2 linked regions of the Daphnia pulex genome follow. The protein of the gene in region 2 purifies or fractionates together with the protein of the main gene of each other region. This does not show direct contact. Links are inferred from orthologs where the notes say so. Each region holds a gene or a part of one and is shown on either strand. Other genes may lie near its edges. The genes, in order: FAS-associated factor 2-like and derlin-2-like.

Region 1 (6,475 bases), on a different chromosome or scaffold from region 2:
TTCCCGATGCTTTAATCCGCAACTGTTGTAAATTCTCCGAGAATCTCTGGGATTTTTCCTGGTCTGTAGTAAAGACAGCTCTTCGTTGTTTTTTTTTTTTTTCATTTCTCCTATTTTTTTTTTTTTTATTATTATTTTTCCCGATCATAAATTATTGTTCCGTGCGTGTGTTGTCCTTGTGAAACCAAAACTTTCCAGAGAAGAGGAAAATTAATGAAGACATTTTATGTTCATTTCTAGTAGGGCCCTTAACCTCTACACTCCCATACACCCCACATCTCCCCTCCCCCCCAGTGTTTTCCTTGAATTTGATTTTTTTTACCCAATTATTTTGTTCTTGATTGGTTCGGTTTCAACCGCTCCCCTTTCCTCATTTCCACTAAAGCTTCTTGATTCTTTTGTTCAAAATTCCTTTTTTCCTAGACATTTATATGCAAAATTTATTCAATAGCTAACAAAATAGCCGGGGCTTGTCAGGTGTCGCTCTGTGCTGTTTTGCCGGTTTTTCTGGCTTTCGGGTCAAAATTAAGGAAATAACAGAAAATATATATGGAAATTCTTTATTCTTTCTTTATGATCATGATACTTTTATGGCGGTTTAATACCGGGTCAATGTGAAATTGAAGAAAAATTTGGGGGCAAGAGTAGGTAAAGGTTTTTGTAAACACATTATTTTTTAACTCTACTGATCAAGCATCCAAGTCCAAGACGAGAAGAGCTTCAGAGGCTCCAAGACCTACTTCTGCCAACGTCGGGTAAGTATCCATGTCGGGCTGCCATGGTAACGTTCGCTTAGGGAAAGAAGTAGCCATTTCAAATTGATATGGAGAATCGGGATGAGCCAAAATAAAATAGTACAGATCCTATTGCGAAATAATTAGCAGATAAAAAATTTTATATGGTCATGGATTTAAGGTTTGAAATGGCCATGAGAAAAAATTACTTTGAGTGTGTGGATTGTTCGATGGAAGCGCCGTTCTAGTTTCTGCCCTCTAGGTAATCGGATCAGAATACGGCAAATTCCGGATTCGTCGGCAGCGGGTTCTGGCGGTATCAAGTTAATTGCTTCTTGCTTCCTCCGGATCATTTCCTACAAAGGGTGGGTAAAATTAAATCCGGATTGGATAGCGATATACTTGTCGTCCTTACCTCTTTCTTTCGTTCTTCGGCTAGTTCCATCTCTCTAATCTCCCTAAGACGTTCTTCTTCAAGCAAACGATCACGTCTCTTTTTCTCTTCCTTCTCTTGATCAGCTCGTAACGATTCGAGATAAGCTTCATCTTGCTCTAACCTTAGAGCTTGGTTAAAACTACGTTCTTCACGGTCTGCCCTTGCGGCCACTAGAAAAGCTTCATTATCTGAAATTGTGGTTCGTAAACGTTGAACTAGGGCATCTGGTTCAATAAATCCTTCAATTCTGCAAATGAAATCATGAAAAGATCGTTAAAAATCGATTTCAATATTGCAACAGAAATTTTTCCCGTGTACCTCCCAACGACGGTCATACGGAATTCCCTCTGAACAATAATGGCCAAAAATGGGTAAGTATTCTCTCGAAGCGCTTGCGAGACACGGTAGCCTTCCAAACTATTTACACTGCACGCCCACATTAAGCAATTGCTATTAATGAACTCTATGACTTGAGGGTTGCAGAGCGTCTGACGGCAAAACTTATTTGTGTCTTGGTGGTCTTTACAGTGGAGGTATGCCAACAAAAATTTAAGATCTTTTTTAGCTTCATTGAGAACCTGACTGTAGGTTCCAGGATAGAAAGTTGGGTGTTGATCTCCAAATGTTTCATTATACTCGTGAATGAAGGAAATGACATTTCCTGTTGGATCTGTGACAGCTATTGGATTAACAGAAACACAATTAGAAAGGAAATTTTGAAGGAAAGTAGAGATTTAAATACCTGGTCGGTTTTCTGGTCTGATGATCCTGAAGACAAAACGGGTTAAATGATAAAATGTAACCATCACAACTCTTAATGGAAGAGATGAGAGGAAAAACAGCCATCCTGTAAACCCATCAGGCCTTTGGTTTGGCAATGGAAAAAGGCCTGTGTTGTCATCAAGGAAGGGGTTGAAGAAGTAAGTCATTATCCTTTGAATAACTGAGTCGACAGGTTGTGTTCTAGGTGGGTTCTGTGGGAGAGGTCTGTGGACAGTAGGTTGTCCATTTTGTAGAGGAAATACAGGCATTTCCCTGGCAGGTTGAGCCATTTCTCTGGGATCTAGACCAAGATGATCATGTATGGCTGTCTCTACATCCCAGTTGTGCCTCTCTAAAATCTCCATACATTTGTCCAGATCATCGATTCCAGACAACTCCTTTATAAAGAGACATTTACTTAACACTTTTACTTTCAACATTTTATGACGAATATATACATGAATAAGTCGATTTCTTACCTGAAATTGGACTAGCTTCTCTGTATTTTGAGGACTGAGTTCACGATCTTCAAGATCCATTACAATTTATTGTAACAACTTTGGGAACTACAGTTGCCTAGCTTCTTCTTTTATTGTGTCTTTTAATCAGTAGACTTTTCTAGCAACCATCGGTGAAGAACTGAAGATGAATAATATTTCCTGGGTTCCTATCTTGGCCGCTAGGCTGCACTCAAAAACTTTTATCAACTCAACTCCTTGTCCTGCTCGCGGGGAGTTACTTTGAACATCTCCGTGTCCGTGTAAAATCTGAGATCAGTTTCCTGTTGATAAGAAAGTATCGTAAAACCCTCAATTCATCTGATTTTACACTACATGCGATCTTCATCACCCCAAATTCGTGGAGATCGCGAATTTTTGGCTACATTTGATAATTGCGCAATAGTAAGCGATTATTACTTTTCATGTACTCCAGGTTAATTTGCATACACGCCTTTGCAAAATTGAAAGTTGCATGCATACCAAGTGAGCATGGTACTTTTAAGTTAGTTTTATAATTTAAAGATTCAAATAAAACAAGTCGATTTCATCAAAATTTCCTCCCCTACTATAGTTTAGTCTTTCACAGCAATAACAATTGAAAAACAAATAAGCTTAGGAGTAAGTAAGTTTTTTATAGAAAAAAATTTAACAAAGGAAATTTGTTCTGTATTCGTAATCTGGGTTAGAAAAATAAACACATAATAACATTGCGACAAATTGATTCTTAGTAAGGGAATTCCAAGATTTTCTTGGATGAGATTTCTTTTCTTTTTTTAATTTGGAGAACTCCAAACGTTAAACAAAAATTTAGAATAATGAAGAGGCGCCGTTGAAAGTTCGTTAGTCCCAGCTCTCCTCAGCTTCGGTTGGACGTTCAGCTCCGCCACCTCCTACAGGTTTATCACCAAACTGAATATAAAAAAAAAAAAAAACAATATAACAAAAAACACCACCAGAATGTTTACAATCGAAAATTTAACTCACCCGACGCATGTCACGACTAGCGAAACCACCCTGAGTCGAAGGTGCATTGTAATCAAGACCCATTCCACCCATTCCGGACACCAACGCTTGCAAGAATGCAGGGACATCAGCATTGGACTAAAATAATATTCCATGAAAAAACCTATAACACTTCAAAACCATTTTATCTCTTTACCTTTGAAAGCAATGAAACTAGCTTGCCCGCGTTAGGACCATCTTTCTCTACATCAAAGAAACTAATCGATTGTCCAACATTACCCACACGACCAGTTCGACCAATGCGATGCACATATTCCTCAATATCACCAGGAAGGTCGTAATTAATAACGTACTTGACGCCCTCAATATCTAGAAAAATTTGATTTAACATAATTCACATTTTAAACAGAAAGAAATATACCTAATCCACGTGCAGCGACATTAGTGGCAACCAGAACATTACGTATACCAGTCCTGAATTCACGAAGTGCTGTTTCGCGTTGACTCTGAAGACGGTCACCGTGGATACTCGTAGCCTATACGAAAACTTAATAAAAATATTCAATACAATATACGAATATGTTCTACCTGGATATCGCTGTTGCACAAAAATACAGCAACGAAATCTGCCGTTTTCTTGCTGTCGACAAACACAATAGTCCTAGCTTCTCCCAATTCACGAAGGATTTCTATCAATTTGGTCCTCTTTTCATTGCGCGCACATTCGTAAAACGTTTGCTGGACGTCGGGATTAGTTCCGCCCACAGTTCCTGTAGTCACGAAAATGTAATCCTCCATGTAATTGGCAGCCAATGCTTGGACTTCCTCTGGAAAAGTGGCTGAAAACATGCAAGTGCGACGAATTCCCTATATGAGGCAGAAAATTAGGATTATTTGTTTAACAGATATCAAACCAGACTCACTTTTGGGGGCATGGTTGGATGAGCAGCAATTTTTTCAATATCGGGTCCAAATCCCATGTCGAGCATACGATCCGCTTCGTCCAAAATCAAAAACTTTACAGCGGAAAAGTCGAACACACCACGGTCAAGAAAATCCTTAAGTCGACCGGTCGTTGCCACAAGAATGTTGCAGCCAGCTTGAAGATTACTTCTTTGATTACTAGAAACAGTTCCACCGTAGATTATCACAGACTTCAACACAGAATTGTATGCAAATTTGTAGGCTTCGCGGTGAATTTGAATGGCCAACTCGCGAGTGGGTGCAAGGATCACAACTTCAGGCTTCTGAACCATGCCGTGAGAGCCACCAGCAATTCCTTGCTCTAACAAAATATTCATCACCGGAACCAAGTATGCAGCCTAAAGATGAATACATCGATTAATGAATGAACTTTAATGTTGTTGAGTATCTTAGATGCAACACTGCCATTGCAAGCCACTATCACCGACGTGCCCACTTATGTTTGTTTTTCCCTTTATCTACCCATTCGTCCCAACTCTTTGAATTGAAAGCAAAAAGGTTGTGAATTACTGTAACGAATAATAATTACCGTTTTTCCAGATCCAGTGACCGCACTGGCAATCAAATCTCTTTTAGCCAAGATAACTGCAATTGACCCCTTCTGAACGGGGGTAGGTTTAACATATCCTGAATTCTTTATGTTCTGCAGCAACAATGGACGCAAGCCAGCTTCTTCGAAAGACGTAATGTACTGTGGTATATTTTGTCCGGTCACCTAACACAAAATGTGTTAAAATAACTAAGTAGACCTAGATAAATCGGAAAATAGTTCTTGTGTCCAACCTGAAGAGCAACTTTATCAAAGTTGTGGAAGTGTTCTCCGGATGAAATCCCCTTGAACAATTCATTTTCATCGGTAGTCATATCTGGCGGTGTATATTTCTCGCGTGGTTTTCCATCCTCAGTTAGGGAATTATATTCGTCCGGGCATTCTTTTGTACTATGACCAAGTTTGTAGCACTAAAGAAAATTAAATTAATTAGTTGTACTGTTCTAATGATTAATAATGTTTTACATACATTGTTGCACTTGCTTTCCACTGTGCAATCCTTTGACATGTGTCCTTCCTCTTTACACTATTTAATAAAACATGAATTCATATAAAAATTTAGCAATACATATTACTTATGAAATATACCTTGAAGCATTTGGTATCTCCACCACCACCTGATGGGCATTCCCTTGCGATGTGTCCAGCATCTCCACACTATTTAATTCAATTAATAATTAAAAGAAAACTGAGTTGTAGTTATCGTTGAGATTTACCTTGTTACACGTACGAGGCCCACCGCCACCTCCCGTTGGGCAATCCCTTGCCATGTGTCCAGTTTCTTTACACTGAAAGAAACTTGAATTTAATATTTGATACCAGATAATAATAGCACTTGATTACCTTATGACATGCACCATCTCCACCTCCACCTCCCGATGGGCAATCCCTTGCCATGTGTCCAGGCTGTTGACACTGAAAGCAAATTCAATATAATATTTGAAATAAAAAAAATTATAACCCTTTCATACCTTACGACATGTACCATCTCCACCTCCACCACCACCTCCTGTTGGGCAATCCCTTGCCATGTGTCCAGGCTGTTGACACTGAAAGAAACTTGAATACAATATTTGATTGACCAAAAATAGTAACCTTTGCCTACCTTATTACATGTGCGATCTCCACCTCCACCACCACTATTTGGATTAGGGCATTCTCTAGACATATGTCCTTCTTCTCCACACTATATTTAAAAATTTAAACGATTACTTTTGAACATTCCAGAATTCATGTGCTTTATCATTTACCTTGTAGCAAGCACGACTGCCTCCTCCTCCAGCACCTTTGTATCCACCTCCACCTGCAGAGCTTCCAAATCCACCACCTCGTGGCTGGTCTTCCACATCATTATTGAATTGAGAGTTTTGAGTGGGTGCATCCCAGCGACCAGAGCTGGCAGGAGCAGTTGAAGCACCCCAACCATTAGAATTTCCAGTGGACTTTCCTGGAGCATCCAATCCATTCGAGCTAGAAGCAGGATTCGCTGCAGCTCCCCATTCATCATCAGAGGCTGCCCTAACAGTGCTCATCTGGCTAACTGTCG
Region 2 (6,579 bases):
AGGTTGCCAGACATGCCCAAGTAGATCCTGGTGGCTTCCGTCACACAGCAGGCAGAGACTCCAATTCCAAGAAGGAGATACGAGAACCAGCCAAAACATTGGTGCTGCCAAATGTAGCAAGAGATGATGAGTGAAATGTAAGACAATGACTTTTTCTTCGTATTATGTAAATACCTTTGCCACAAATGATGCCAGGATGATCGCCAGCCACACTGGGTAGTAGACCAAGTTGAAGTATAGTGACATTTGCAGTACCAAACTTGATTGGACATCATAAACTTTGCTCCATAAAACAATCAAACGTTTAGCATAAAGTACGAGACGCAATAGATAGAACTTGAATGATTTGAGAAGAATTGAAGTTACCTATGTCACTTTGACCCGATACGAATGAGAAATCTTGAGGTATATCCGACAGACCTGGAAATATTCTATCGCTGAAAGAATCCACAACATTTTGAACTGATTGTCTTCCCATTATTTCATCGCTTTCGACGATGGCTTTTGGCTATGAACGAAATGACAGCCGATTGTTTTGGGCATTTCAAACTGGGCGCCATGGCAACGACTCTAGCAGAACAACTCAGCTGTTTTCATTCGTGACTTTCTCCCGTCACAGTATTACATGTGCTGTGTGGTACACGTACAAACTTGTTTTGTGAATAAAATACTTGGCGATTATATTAGAGCAAGTAAGCTGTGAAAAAACTTGTAGGATCGATGGCTGGAAAATTATTTTTCATCTTTCTTGTCCAGGTTTCACAATCCAAACATGGGAAACTGGCAACTGGAAGCAGCCAAAATGGGGATGTACATGATTTTCCCAGTTGGTTGTTTCTATTACTTTAACCAGGCAGAGTATTTTGAAGATTGGATGATCAATCTGAGGAGAGAAATGTACCCTGCCGAAAGCAGGGTGAACAAAAAGATGTTTGAGGACACCATTCGCCAAATGAAGGAGAAAGAGGAACGGGAATATCTCAGACTACTTGAGGAGAAGGAAAGAAAAAATAATGCCTAAGTTGTCTGTTTCTTAATTAGATTTATGTATACAAGAGTCAATTTCAACTAAATTTATTTGATTTCTTTCGTCATCGTGCAGGTTTGATTTCTACTTATCTCTTCAATTCTAGACTATAACATTCCCAACTCCAGTATCTGCTTCCACTATCTGGTGGACTAAACATCTTTAAGCAGTTCAAAAGATCCTTGAAGAAACAAAACAAAATTGAGGACTGCGTGTGTGATCAGGGCAGTGAACTCGCTGTAGCATAAGCCTTTCCCAATGCAGCATCATCTCTGTAGCAGGTCAGGATTAGAAAATCAAATGACTCCAAACAAATAGCAAGTCTTGTTAGTTTGACAGATTTGCGACCTTCAAGTTGTGTATTTGGAAATCTTTGGCGCATTCACTACAAACAAGGCGTCGTAATGCAATCGAGTTTTTTGGACATTTATGCTTCAGATGGGAATGTATCATTTTCAAGGTTGACAACTGCTCCTTCCTATTTGTTGGCTTGAAACAAAATCGCTGTGCGCTCGGTGCAAACTTGGACGTTCAAAGAACCTTTTCACTAGAATTCGCAATCGGTTATCTCAGATTGACTTATGGTCGGTCCGCCTCCCCTTCATCTCTGAGCTAGCGAAAAAGGGAATAGTCTTGTTTATTCACATCAATAGAATATTAATTCATTATCTAGTGCGCTCCGATTTTGATTGTGTGTTCCCAAAATGTTCGAGTTGGATGGGCGAAGAACTGCACTATGGACACTACGAGTACGGTTGATTGCGTGTAAACTTGACACGGTTAAAAGATGGCCATAAAAGGAGAAAGGGGAAAGCGCTGGATATTTGTAAACGTTGCAACAAAGCAGTATGTCAATGCTAGTCGGTCATTGGTAAGCGAAAGAAAACCGGGCCACTGTGTAGAAGGAATAATGAGGGCGAACATCGACAACTGTATATTAAACAAATTTCCATGTATTTTCTTTTGCCATTTAGTAATTTTTCAAAAAGACGATTGTGTTTGTTTCTCTTTTTTTTCTTTCTTTTCCTCACTGATTTTCGTTTTCTCTCGGCTGGTCGGCGACTGCGTCTGCCACTCCCGGAGCACCAGCACCGCCCCAATCGAAACCCCCAGGACGCTCGTCAGGAGCCGGATTGTAAAGAGGGTCTTCAGTGTGCGTGTCGAACAAAAGTTTCCTAGGGGGGGAAAAGAAAAGAAACCGTGAACCCCTTGACCGATCTTTGATGTTTTTCTTTTCGAGAATGCCAAATTGTTGCATACAGTAAACGAGGCGTGGCCAAGAGTCTTCTGCCTCCAGGCTGATTAGGAAACACATCTTCCAGGAAGAAATACAAGTGACCGATGGCGATCCCGAGAATGTCCACCAATACGCTATTGCCTAAAAGAACTGAAAAAGCCACGAGAACCCAAGGCAAATATGGGGCCTATAAAAATGTCAGGATAGAGAAAAAAATTATCGGTTAATTTTCGCACAGGGTGTTTTGAATTTTGCAGTTGCTTTGTCCTATTTACTCGAAAAGGTAGAAGGCCGAAGAAATTCATCCTAACGTAAGGATTTCTCCGAGCCCAAATATAGACGAACATCGTGGTGAGCGAATGTCCAAGGAACAATAAATTTACAAACCAAGCACATATCTAAAAACATGAGAAAAGCAAATAGTTAAAAAAACTTGAAACAGGAATTCATGCAAATTTTCATAATTACCACTGTTGTGATGCAGCCAAATATGAACATGTAAACAAAATCAGCTGTTCTACCTCTGAATGAACCCTCCTCCAACATTCTACAATAGCGATAGGTAAAAATCATGTTGAACAGAAAATTGAAGCTGAATGTCCCAAAAAAGAAGAATGGAGTCAGTAGCCTCCATATCTGCAAATACAAGATTACATGATTTGGCTACCATACAAAAGCAAACCAATCCTATTACCTCAAACTTTTGAGTGATGAGCAAAGGATTGAAATACAGTTGAAAAGGTGACACCACATCCAGTTGCTGAAAAGGAAATGTTTTGCAGTCGATTACTGAGTCCCTTTCAAAGTTTCGAGTGTTACTTACCACTGCAATTGAAGTGAGCAAGCAAACAGTGGTGTATGCCCGAGTTACTGGAGGCATCAACATATACTCTTGGCGTAATGTGTGGTAAGCCATGGTGCTTTCTTGTAATTGATTTCATCAACAGTCAACTAAGATGATGTTTTATCACTTAAATTGTATACTGTTATTGTATACAAAGGACTATGACCAGCTCAAACACGAACCTCAAATAAGAAAAACAATTTATGAATACCTAGAAATACAATCAAGAAACGATTTATCCAAAAATGTAAGGATTTCGCGAAACACTACCAACCATCGTTTTTCCCAAGAGTCAAATTGGTTTGTTTATTTTTTCTTTTAACAAACCCCCCTTGGTCGACGTGGACAATTTGTAGAGGCTACAGCAGAAACGGAAATGTCAAAAAAAGGGAATTCCAAAGATCAATTTTTGGTTGCTATTGCAACGGTGTAAATGGCGCCTCTTTTGATGTAGCAGACAACTTTTTGATTATTATTCCATCCAAGATTCGAGTGATTTGAACCGTTGGAACCTCAGTTTATTTTGACTAAATTGAATTTGTTGACGTAACCCCTAGTTTTTATTTTTCATTTCGGGTCTTGGCGATAAATCATCCATCTTCTACTTTATTTATTATTGGGAGGGAGATGATGAAACTGGAAGTAGGTGCATTCAGTGCAGTCTTGCAGATAAAACAAAAACACATGGTCGAGTGTCGTAGTTCGTATATTTGGTTTGAAAAATGGTTGGCTACAATTTCCACGGTTATTGACTTTTGTGAAACTCTAAATTCTTCTTAATGTGAAAGGATATATGCAACTTGAGTAACAGTTCATGCTGGGATAGGTGATTGAGCAACCATCTTCACATCACAAAACAAGTATTTTACTCTTACATAATTATTCGATGAGTGTGTTTTCTTTTTACTATAGCCTGGTACATGTTGACCGACCACAATTCATGTATCAATTTCTAGGAACAGATTAGGTAATAAAGAATACAAAGAAAGGAATTGGCTCTCTCATAAGATAGAAAATTACATAGCAGTAGCTTTCATTATTTTATCTGTAAATTCTACTACAGCTAGTAAGTTGTGTAATGATTTGAGATGCTGAAAGGCTTTTTTGTTTCTGGCAGAGCCATTAATGTATACTGGAACAAGGCCAGCAAGATGCATACCTTCTGTAATTCTATTTTTGGGATACCCTCATTTCTCCCTCTAACTCTTCCAAAGGCCACTTTTATTGAGTCTCTAGTACACTTCCCGTTATACCACGTCGTCTCTCCCCCAATGCAAAAATTCACTACACAACTGTTGCGTTTTGCAGTAAAATCTTGAATTGTTTTTACTTTTATAGGAGCACGAAATCTAGACGAGAGAGGTACGCCAATCAACGGTCGTTGCTACCAAAAACTCTAGTGCAAGAAATTGAGTAAAGGAAACTGGGCAGACATTACTCTCTTGCCTCATCATCGCCGTGACTACTAGAAGACAATCTAGTGTCTCGTTTGACGACCAAAAGATCACGTGACAGATGTGTATCATTTTCAACCATATCGTCGCGACGCTGAACATCCGCCGCACGTGCGCAGTCATATAGAGTGAGGAACATCGGCTGCAGTCGCACCTACGCCTGGCTCTCCAATCGGTTTTTGCTGTCTGACTAGACTGGCCGAGTGATAAGTTATAGCGACGCCGTCAAACGTAAGATATCGTCGTCGTAGCCTTTTGTTATTATCCCTATATTTCGGTTTTACCTTTTCAGTTGACCTTGTGACAATTTATCACTTTGGCTTGTCCAGTTTTTTGTTTACAGATGAACGTGAATATCGGTGGCGTCATCTCTGTGGCTTTCTTCTACTGTTTGATCCTGGCCGTTGGAATTTGGGTAGGATGGAAGGAAAAGAGGAAATTTAAACAGCTACAGCGGATGGAAAGCGGTGCTAACCTGTCGGAGAACATAATGCTGGCCGGACGTGATATGGGATTGTTCGTCGGAGTCCTGACGATGACGGGTAACGATGAGTGTTGTCCCGATTCAGTATACAAGAGGGGTAGATTTGGTTTCCAACAAGCAGGTTTAAACAACAACAACTACGACAGCGACGTGGGTAGCAGGAGGTTACATCAACGGCACCTGTGAAAGCGCCTTCACTGGTGGCTTTCTAAAATGCTCTACAATGGCGATCGGATATTCCATGAGCCTCTTACTTGGTGTGTGTGTGTTTGCCTCATTAGTGTGTCTATAGTAAATCATGTTTCATCATTTTTATTCTTTGGATAAAAAGGTGGAATGTTTTTCGCTAAACCCATGCGAATGGCCCACGGAGGTCGAGGATATGTTACCATGCTCGATCCCTTCCAGGAAAAATACGGCTCACGTATTGGTGGGCTATTGTTTTTGCCGGCCCTGTGCGGGGAGATATTCTGGTCCGCTGCTATCCTGTCGGCCCTTGGTGACGCATTAGAAAAACTTTTTTAAATGTTGGCTGTCAAAATGTTTTAATTTTAGCATTATGCAATAGGATCCATTTTCACCGTCATGCTGGGACTGGACAATACTCTGTCGATAATCATAAGTGCTGCTGTGGCTGTTACTTACACCTTGATTGGAGGCCTTTACAGCGTGGCCTATACTGACGTCATTCAACTGGGATGTGTTCTCTTTGGCCTGGTATTTCCATTTTTCAAATCCAACATTCAGTTGACTGAATTTCTCGTTGCAATCATAGGTATTCTGCATTCCGTTTGTCTGGACTCATCCGGCCGTTGACCACGAGGCTATGAGCGAGGTTGATTGGTTAGGTACAATTCCGCTGTCCTCTGTCGGTAGCTACGTCGACATTTATCTGCTCATCATCCTTGGCGGAATTCCTTGGCAAGTTTATTTTCAGCGGGTTTTGGCGTGTCGATCTCCTCGACAGGCCCAGTACCTGTCTTACATTGCTGCTCTTGGATGCCTTACCCTGGCCGTCCCACCTGCCGTTTTAGGTTCCGTTGCCCGAGTCGTTGGTAAATTTACCCTCTTGTGATTTCTTCTTACACGGTGATTAAAACTAAGCAGTTTGACACAGACTGGACTAACGGAACGGAATATGGCAAAGAAATAACCACACCCGAAGAAATCAAATCGATACTACCGTTAATTCTTCAGTATTTAACACCAAAGGTATTTTATCATCATTTGATTTTTTTAATTGAAAATAATTATTTGGCAATACCTTTGGTTAGTGGGTGTCATTTATCGGTCTTGGTGCCGTCTCGGCTGCCATCATGTCATCAGCAGATTCGACTGTCTTGTCAACGAGCTCCATGTTTGTCCATAACATCTACAAGACTGTTTTCTTTCCAAAAGTTAGTAACTGGTTCTCATAAATTGTTGATACGGACCCTATAACCTTATTTCTTTTATGTAATTCCTCCCCTCGCCCAAGTCGTCGGAACAGCATTTGGTTCACGTTATGTGGGTTTCAATTGTCGTATCGGCAGG

Evidence for each region.
Region 1: the proteins of derlin-2-like (region 2) and FAS-associated factor 2-like purify together in Homo sapiens (affinity purification with mass spectrometry; 5 studies listed by BioGRID and IntAct, counting the BioPlex papers as one, with this or other methods). This does not show direct contact. The link is inferred for Daphnia pulex from reciprocal best matches to the Homo sapiens genes DERL2 and FAF2.

The regions. Positions count from the first base shown.
Region 1 is NC_060019.1:5,815,312-5,821,786, reverse strand, and holds FAS-associated factor 2-like, read right to left. Parts: upstream 2,697-6,475; 5' UTR 2,472-2,696; coding exon 2,412-2,471; intron 2,331-2,411; coding exon 1,913-2,330; intron 1,850-1,912; coding exon 1,489-1,849; intron 1,418-1,488; coding exon 1,150-1,417; intron 1,091-1,149; coding exon 944-1,090; intron 864-943; coding exon 690-863; 3' UTR 547-689; downstream 1-546. Other genes in the region: ATP-dependent RNA helicase vasa-like, read right to left, coding at 3,273-3,341, 3,417-3,533, 3,592-3,764, 3,817-3,931, 3,984-4,262, 4,319-4,717, 4,909-5,094, 5,163-5,339 and 7 more. UniProt on the Homo sapiens protein: Plays an important role in endoplasmic reticulum-associated degradation (ERAD) that mediates ubiquitin-dependent degradation of misfolded endoplasmic reticulum proteins.
Region 2 is NC_060027.1:833,648-840,226, reverse strand, and holds derlin-2-like, read right to left. Parts: upstream 3,528-6,579; 5' UTR 3,383-3,527; intron 3,320-3,382; exon of another isoform or gene 3,291-3,319; 5' UTR 3,181-3,290; coding exon 3,088-3,180; intron 3,025-3,087; coding exon 2,959-3,024; intron 2,901-2,958; coding exon 2,733-2,900; intron 2,663-2,732; coding exon 2,540-2,662; intron 2,452-2,539; coding exon 2,288-2,451; intron 2,203-2,287; coding exon 2,055-2,202; 3' UTR 1,368-2,054; downstream 1-1,367. Other genes in the region: transmembrane protein 17B-like, read right to left, coding at 1-104, 175-278, 367-478; high-affinity choline transporter 1-like, read left to right, coding at 4,906-5,104, 5,193-5,303, 5,378-5,545, 5,615-5,763, 5,822-6,101, 6,164-6,258, 6,321-6,443, 6,524-6,579.